Linked DNA regions of Nothobranchius furzeri. The protein of the gene in region 1 interacts with the protein of each later gene in a biochemical or structural test. Links are inferred from orthologs where the notes say so. Each region holds a gene or a part of one and is shown on either strand. Other genes may lie near its edges.

What was found. The genes of interacting proteins can lie anywhere in the genome.
Region 2: the proteins of cops5 (region 1) and mif form a complex in vitro, tested with the Homo sapiens proteins (2 studies listed by BioGRID). The link is inferred for Nothobranchius furzeri from reciprocal best matches to the Homo sapiens genes COPS5 and MIF.

The regions. Positions count from the first base shown.
Region 1 is NC_091747.1:51,742,087-51,746,443, reverse strand, and holds the start of cops5 (COP9 signalosome complex subunit 5), read left to right. Parts: upstream 1-1,466; 5' UTR 1,467-1,625; coding exon 1,626-1,765; intron 1,766-1,907; coding exon 1,908-2,142; intron 2,143-4,232; coding exon 4,233-4,357. Other genes in the region: centrosome and spindle pole-associated protein 1, read right to left, coding at 1-102, 172-255, 360-457, 519-561. UniProt on the Homo sapiens protein: Probable protease subunit of the COP9 signalosome complex (CSN), a complex involved in various cellular and developmental processes.
Region 2 is NC_091741.1:91,262,101-91,265,711, forward strand, and holds mif (macrophage migration inhibitory factor), read right to left. Parts: upstream 2,193-3,611; 5' UTR 2,083-2,192; coding exon 1,975-2,082; intron 1,087-1,974; coding exon 914-1,086; intron 810-913; coding exon 743-809; 3' UTR 545-742; downstream 1-544.

The sequences.
Region 1 (4,357 bases):
CTTTGAGGAGATCGGAGGTGTTCCTCTCTTGGACCTTCTCTTCTGAGCTTGCTCCTGGAGGAAGATGTTGTATTCTTTTTTCCTCTCTTCTCGTAGTCTGCCCTGTGAGAGAGTCACACATGTAACTAAATTTTTAAAATGTGCATGTGCACACAAAACATGCACACACACCTTTATTGATGCTCTCTCGTTGATGGGTAAGGAAAGACCCTGGTGCTCCAGCACCTGGGGCTCACAATTTCTGAAATTATATATCTAGAAGAAGAACAGTGCGGATGATGAAATGGTAAAAAAAAAAAAAGATGGTGACTCTAAAGCTGTTTTAAGATTTCTTTACATTTTTGAGTACATCACCAGACCTTAGCAACACAATCTTTGTTGTCCAGTTGCAGCTCCTGTAGATGTTTCTGCTTGTTTTTTTCATAATCACTTCCCAGCCGCAAACTCATGTCCAAACCTGACAAATAAAATACTTTAAAACACTAAAACCCCACCCCCCAAAAAATGCTCTGCGTTACCTCTGTCTGGGTGCGATGCAGGCGCTGTTGATGCTGGACTCATACTAAAGTCTCATTTACTGAACATCATTATTCCTTGGTTGGAAAAGAAATCCACACAGCAAAATTACTGATTTGTTCATTACCTGAGGTGATTTGAAAGTATAGATGTTTACTCACCCAGCTGCTGCGTGGCATTTTAAGGTGACTTTTCTGTGTTTTGCTCCTTTAAGATCTTCCCATCTTACCATTGACCTACATAAGTATATCAGAAGTATAGAAGGTCCAAATTATTCTAAACTTGCAACCATGGAAGGAAAGACGCTAATATGTTTTATCCGCATCTAAAACCCAAACAAACGCTCATCCGGAAGCACTGCACAAAGTGCGTTGCTAGGGGCAACCATGACACAAAAGATAACCCCAGGAGGCTAACTAACGCTGCTAATACAAAATTGTAAACAAATGTGTCACGCATATAGTCTGAAATTAATTTAGAATTTATTATTTTACTTTTTTACACCCGTGAACACGTTTTATTTAAACCGCAAGTTTACTCACAGCTAAGCTAATAGTAAATATTTTTAGGAGCTGGTTTATATTTAATACATTTCCTGAAATATTTAACAGTAGTTCGGGTTATTTTAATTAATGAACTGACGCAGTTTCTAAAGAAGCGTGAAGAAAAAAAGGGTGTCAGAAACAAACCTGCACATACAAAATCCGCCGCTAGATGTCAGTGCGTCATTAAGTGACTCAACAATAGACCTAACTCTCTGTGGGTGAAACCATCTCTCAGAGGGGTGTTTACACTTACACAAACTGTAACTAAATACCTAAAATCCGCTTTGTTACATATTTAATTTCCACACATGATACAGTATCAATCTTGAAATTATGTACAATGTTTTAAAATGTTCAAGAAAGGATTCAGTTTAAATATTGCAACCAAAGGAAACGTCAAACCTGGGAATTGGTATTGTTCACTGTCATGGCTTCCTGAGCGAGCGGTTGTTGGGGCCTAAATCATCTACGCTGAAATATCGCTTTTCTTCGTTCATTTGACTGGGAATTTAAGGGCTTAAATACTGTTTTTTATTATTATAATTATTTTAGCCCGATTAAATCATGATGACCGGCAACAGCACGGCTCAGAAAACATGGGAGCTGTCTAACAGAATGCAGGAAGTCCAGAGCATCGATGAAATTTACAAATATGACAAAAAGCAACAACAAGAAATCCTCGCTGCGAAGCCATGGACAAAGGAGTGGGTTAAATACGGAAACGAATGATGAATTTTCAAACACTTAGTCTTCTGTTGTGATATTTAGGTGTACTTAAAGCAATAGTTCGTTTTTTAGTTATGCCTCTTGTTTGTTTATTAACTGTGCTTCTTCTAACTCCCTCAGTCACCACTACTTCAAATACTGCAAGATCTCAGCTCTGGCCCTGTTAAAGATGGTGATGCACGCCAGGTCTGGTGGAAACCTGGAGGTGATGGGTCTCATGCTGGGAAAGGTGGATGGAGAAACCATGATCATCATGGACAGCTTTGCTCTGCCAGTGGAGGGGACAGAGACCAGAGTCAACGCGCAGGCTGCAGCTTATGAATACATGGCTGCCTACATAGAAAATGCCAAACAGGTAAAATCAAAGCCTGCATGTTGCTTCCTGTGGCGATACACTTCATTTTACATGGGTATAGACATTTTAGAATATTTTTAATTGTGTTTTAACGATACAATGTTAGATTTACCTGTAGCTGTCTTTATGGATCCACATGCAATCAGACGAGAATAAGCAAAGAACACACATGCAGTGGTGCTCTCAGAAAGGTTTTAATGGGGGGCCAGTGAAAATTTTGGGGCAGCACACCCCATTAGTGGAGTTTATCCTGTTGCCATTGAATGCTCCTTCACCTAAAATCTGTTAGTTTCGTTGACAAAATAGTTTTAGGGTTGTTATTTTTGTGACAAATTAATTTTTGTGAACAAAAACTAAAATGTATTACTTCTATAAAGACTAAATTATGACTAACATTGATTGACGCATTACTTGATGAATAAGATGACAACAAAATTTGACTGTAACTAGGGCTGCAACAACAAATCGATAAAAATCGATGAAGAACTGCATTGGCAAGCATGGCCAAAAATGTATTTGGAATTCAGTAGTTTTATAAAACAGGTAACATAAAAACTCAAGCAGGTAACTTTCAGAATGTTCCTTTGGGGCGTTTTAAAGCATCTACCACACACACACAGACACACACACACACACATTCATAATAACCATGTGCCATTGTTATTTAGGGTGGTCGCTTTCTTTTATCTGACTAGAAATAAATTTACAGGAAGTTGTTAGTGACATTTAAAGAGCAAGTCACCCCTTACAAGAAGCGTACTTCACTCCCACTTCATGTTTGAAAAATGCAACAAATGCTGTTGCCTAGCAGACCGAGAGGGTGGAGCCACTAACAAATACACACACTCATGACATTGTGACATCATAATGTACCAGTTTACATCATAGCATACCTCTTAGCCAATAGCGGTGGCAGATTTAAATTCAAATGCAGTGCAGAGTTTTTACCTGACAACGGCACAACACTGACAGTTTCAGGCAGAAAATTTAAATTTTTACTAAAATGCACTAAAGTGCAAAACTATTGACTACACGTGTCTACAACACGATTAGACAAGCATTTATATAGTTTATCAGGAAAAAATAATTGATTTGGGGGTGACTTGCTCTTTAACCTTTATTCTTTTTTATTTAAAAAGAATAACAACAATTAATTATTTATAATGACATTTTTATCATAACTCGACTAATTCCCAGGAATCTATCGAAGGCAACAGGCGTGTGTAAATTAAAAATGTTTTTCTAATAAACAAGTTGGCTCCTTTGTTTAATTAGCAATGGACCGATATGAAATTTTTGGGCCGATACCGATAATAATAATATCACTGTTATGGCCGATAACCAAACGTCGATACCGATATACTGAAATTAATGCTTCTGAAATCAGCAGAATTTGTATAGTCTGAAAATTATTAAAGCTGAATTTATGTTATTATGTACACACAACACACACATTTATGCTTCTGAGATGATTACAACCACTGTCACATGACTAAACAAACACACATCATCCCCCTCACCCTCTGAAACAGATAAACAAGTGGAAACAAGATGGAAAAAATATCAGTTGTTAATATTGGCCTGGTTTTATTTATCGGACGATAACGATATGTTAAAAAATGACTAACATCGGCTGATATTGATGCCAATATGTTGTGCATCCCTAATGTCAACAATTAGATTTAAAACAATATTACTGCTTATTTCTATTTGTATTTGGCAGAATGTTAATTATGAGTGTGAGTGCAATTGTACAGAAGCTCTACGATGCACATTACAAATGCATTGTGTTGGAGTTGGAGCTGGGTGCTGAATTGCTCTGTGTTTTTGCCGTGGTGAATTTCATGCTGGAGTAATAAAACAAAACGTGTGCATCAACTGTTTCTACTACTCCACTAGGGTGTGATAAATGATTTATTTTTCCCTTTTTCCATCGTTTTGAACCGTTTTTTAGGATAAATCTGTTGTTTCTCTAGAAATAATCTTCAGTTTGAAACAGTTTGGAGTATTATATTAACTAGTAGGGAAGCAGTCCTTTTATAAAAATGTTTGTGTCGTATTAAATCTGTACCATCGGTCTCATCTGGTAGGTTGGTCGGTTGGAGAACGCCATTGGCTGGTACCACAGTCACCCCGGCTACGGATGCTGGCTCTCCGGCATAGACGTCAGCACTCAGATGCTCAACCAGCAGTTTCAGGAACCTTTTGTTGCAGT
Region 2 (3,611 bases), on another chromosome or scaffold:
TGGAACAATTTTTCAAGGGAAGGGCATGATCTGAGCATGCAGGAGGACTGACCCATCTTAAACCTTTGTCGGCTGTGCTGAAGAGAAAGGTACAGAACCAAATTATTTAATTAATTGGCTACGCGTTCTCCTGTCCTCTGTCATCCGGGCCACACACACACACACACGGGACTGTCTCAGCTGTTATTTTCGTTAAGGAGTGTGCACGTACAGCATGCGCACCTCGTGCATGAGCCTACTATTGAAGCTGCCGTCACGCTTTTGGCCTGAGGGGGCAATCGCGAGCATAAACATTCAAAACTCCGTAAAGTCCCTTTTAAAGGTCCTATATCATGCAAAATCCATTGTTGAATGTTTGAAAGAGTGGGTTGTGAAAATAACTTCCATTTCACAAAAATGACATCTCAATAATGCCAATGGTAATATTTATCATATAGTGTGCCTACTATTGCTCTGTAAGGTGTGAAATAGCTGCATGCAGGTCCTTTAAATATGATAAAGTTTCTGAATAGGAGGGCTTACTGACCCAAACAGAAGATATTCATTAATTGTTTCACGTGATTTTCTTTATTCGTTTAATTGCAAAAGGGTCAGTACATAGCAAGGGGGTCCAATCAAGTGCATTTAAGGTACCCCTACAGTATTACCTGGATAACAAAGTGTCTCAGCTCTTTGCTTTATTTACCCTAATACAAGTAGGAAAACACTGGAATGATCTTTTATTTCAGTCTTGACCTCCATCCTAGCCAAAAGTGGTGTTGTTCCAGGCCACATTGGCTGCATCCATGTCCACAAAATTGATATAAATTCTAAAACAGACACCAGAAGAAAGAGGTTAATGAGCAATGAATAGAGGTTGTGTGTTTGATCAAGTCCTACAAAGAGGATCAGCATGCTGATGGGCTACTGTTACCTGTCAGCGGAGACTCCCAGGTGTTTGTTGAGCAACCCACACAGTAGTTTTGAGTACTGCTTGTTCTGGGCGCCACTGATCTTGCCGATGCTGTGGAGGGAGCACAGAGCGCAGGGGTCTCCCTTTCCACCAAACATCATCATTTGGTCAGGGTTAATATTCACAGCAATGTACTGAAGAAAGATGAAGGGAAAAAAGCAATATTAAGTGTCAAACCTAAGTGAGTGAACAAGTCAACAGTTCTTGAAGCAAAGACAAATATTTTTCCATTGTACCTTTACTAATAAGTCTCCAAAAATATTTGTCTGTACAATTTTTTTCCATATTGATGGAATTTAGTCTTTTATATTGAAAGATTTACAACAGCGCTATTTGTAACATTCACTTTTCTGTAGATTTAGCTTTGTTGAAGTCTGTCATTCAAAATCTTGCTTTAAAAATGTTATACTGTACTTTGCTATCGTTTCCCTCAGAATTTTATTTTTTTTCTTAAGATTTCTTTATAATTAATATTTAGATTTTTGAACCTTTAAGTATTTCTGTGTTGAGTTGTTTTGGTGTTTATTTTAATCTTAGTCTTTATTTTTCTCCTGTTGTGGATGTGGCAAAAACATTGCCTCAAAAAAAGGAGGGATTTTCTTTTCTATTAGTGTTTATTTTCGTTTACTTTAAAACTATTTTATGTTATTATGTTCTTTATCCTTTTGAGTTTAGGTGTTTTTTTAATGCTCATCCCACTCTGAAGTAATTTTATTTATTCTTTGTAATTCACTTTATCCATCTTGCATCTGGGAAATTTGGACCAGTGATATATAATCCAGATTAATTCATGTAATTATTTTCAACTATGCAAACTGATCCAAACTGATGAGCCGCTTCCGTCCCTGCAGGTAATCTCTAATGTTATATTAGCATTTTGACAAACATTCTTTCATAATGGATATTATTTAGTATGGTACTGATGTGATTTAGTATATATATCGTTCCATATATAATCAAATGCATCATGGTAAATGATCTGCAGGGTTATAATGGTCTGAAGGAACATCTTCCTGACCTACCTGAGCAGGTTTACCCATCGCTTTAGCTAACTCCTCCGTAGCCTCGGACAGCAGAGCCGCAGGCACGTTGCTTTTAGCCACGTTGGTGTTCACCACAAACATCGGCATGATTGCTTTTTATTTCTTCTCTCCAGCTCAAGCTGCAGACGTTCTTCGTCTCTTTCCAGATCGTAAAGAAGCCACGAGAATGACCTCTTCCTCCTCCTTAAAAATGAAAAACTAATTGACCACAGCGCCACCTCTCATCCTGGAGGACACATGGCAACAAATTTTTAGGCCACATTAGGTCACCAACCTGAAGCTGAGAGCTACTTTCAGGGTTGTGACTGAGCGTTAACCAAGTTTGATACAATAGTGAAAATTTGTGAATTTTGGATTAAAAAGAAATCCTAAGCCTAACCCTAACCCAAATCCAAATCTAAATCATTGATTGGATCAGAAAGCTGGTCTTTAATAGAAACATAAACATTTTAAGGGAAGTTTGCACTTTTGTTGTTAAGAACTTTTTTAATTGCAATTTATCAAAGTTTGTTTTTAACTTTTTTGTCGGTTTTTTTGTTTTTGAAGTACCTTTTTCTTTGTATTGATTAAAAAAGTACATAATAATATACAAATATATAACCTTTGAACTAGAATAGATCAGAGTTAAACTAAAATGTATTTACTATAAACATATTTAAATATTTGTAAAGAAACATGTAGGTTTTAAATCTATAATAATGCATTTGCGATTTTAAAAGATGGCAGCAGGTTTGGAGAAAAGGCCTGTGGGCACCAGATTGGTAAATCCCTTCTTTACACATTTACAAAAGCAAATATGTTCTGACCATCTACATATATACTGGACAATTCATTTCCATAGGCTCCAATAACACGTTTTTGTGCAAAAATGGGAGGTGGCCACCACCGCCATTTTGACCGTGTCACAGGTTCCTTCAAGCCCAGACAATTCTACAAAAGGGAAGAGAGGTGGAGCTGAGGGTGTGGCTGTAAGGCTGGGATCAACTGACGACACCCGGTCGAACTAGCTACAAGCTAACCCAAAGCTAACGCAGAGGTGGGAGCTAAGCTAACGGAGGTAGCAACCTAGCTACAACCGGAGTTAATTGTGCACAACACCAGAGCTTCTGAGTCAGAGATACGCCGGGCTGACCGCTGGGTAAAACCGGGTGGAACACAGAGGTCTCCCGAAAGCTGCTGGAAGCCAGCAGCCCACGCAGCAGACAGAAGCCGCGATTAGACAGAGATGCGCAGAGCTGCGGGGAGGGGAAAAACGGGTGGAAAACATCGGTCTCCCTAGAGCTCCACAAGCCGATAGTCGGAACCCAGCTCCACCAACATGTTATATTTCAACCCATTTTCTATAGTGCAGCATTATCACAATGTAGTTGTGAGCCTGTGTGTGTATTTGTTAGCGGCTCCGCCCTCTCGGTCTGCTAGGCTACAGCATTTGTTGCATTTTTCAAACAGGAAGTGGGAGTGGAGTAAGAATCTGGTAGGGGATGACTCATTCTGAGTTATTTAATAAAAACAGTACAAGTGAAAGATGGAGAATGTCACTAAAAATTATTAAATACTTTGGCTGCAGATCAAACTACGACTCAAAATTCCAGTTTTTCATATTGACCACATCCAGA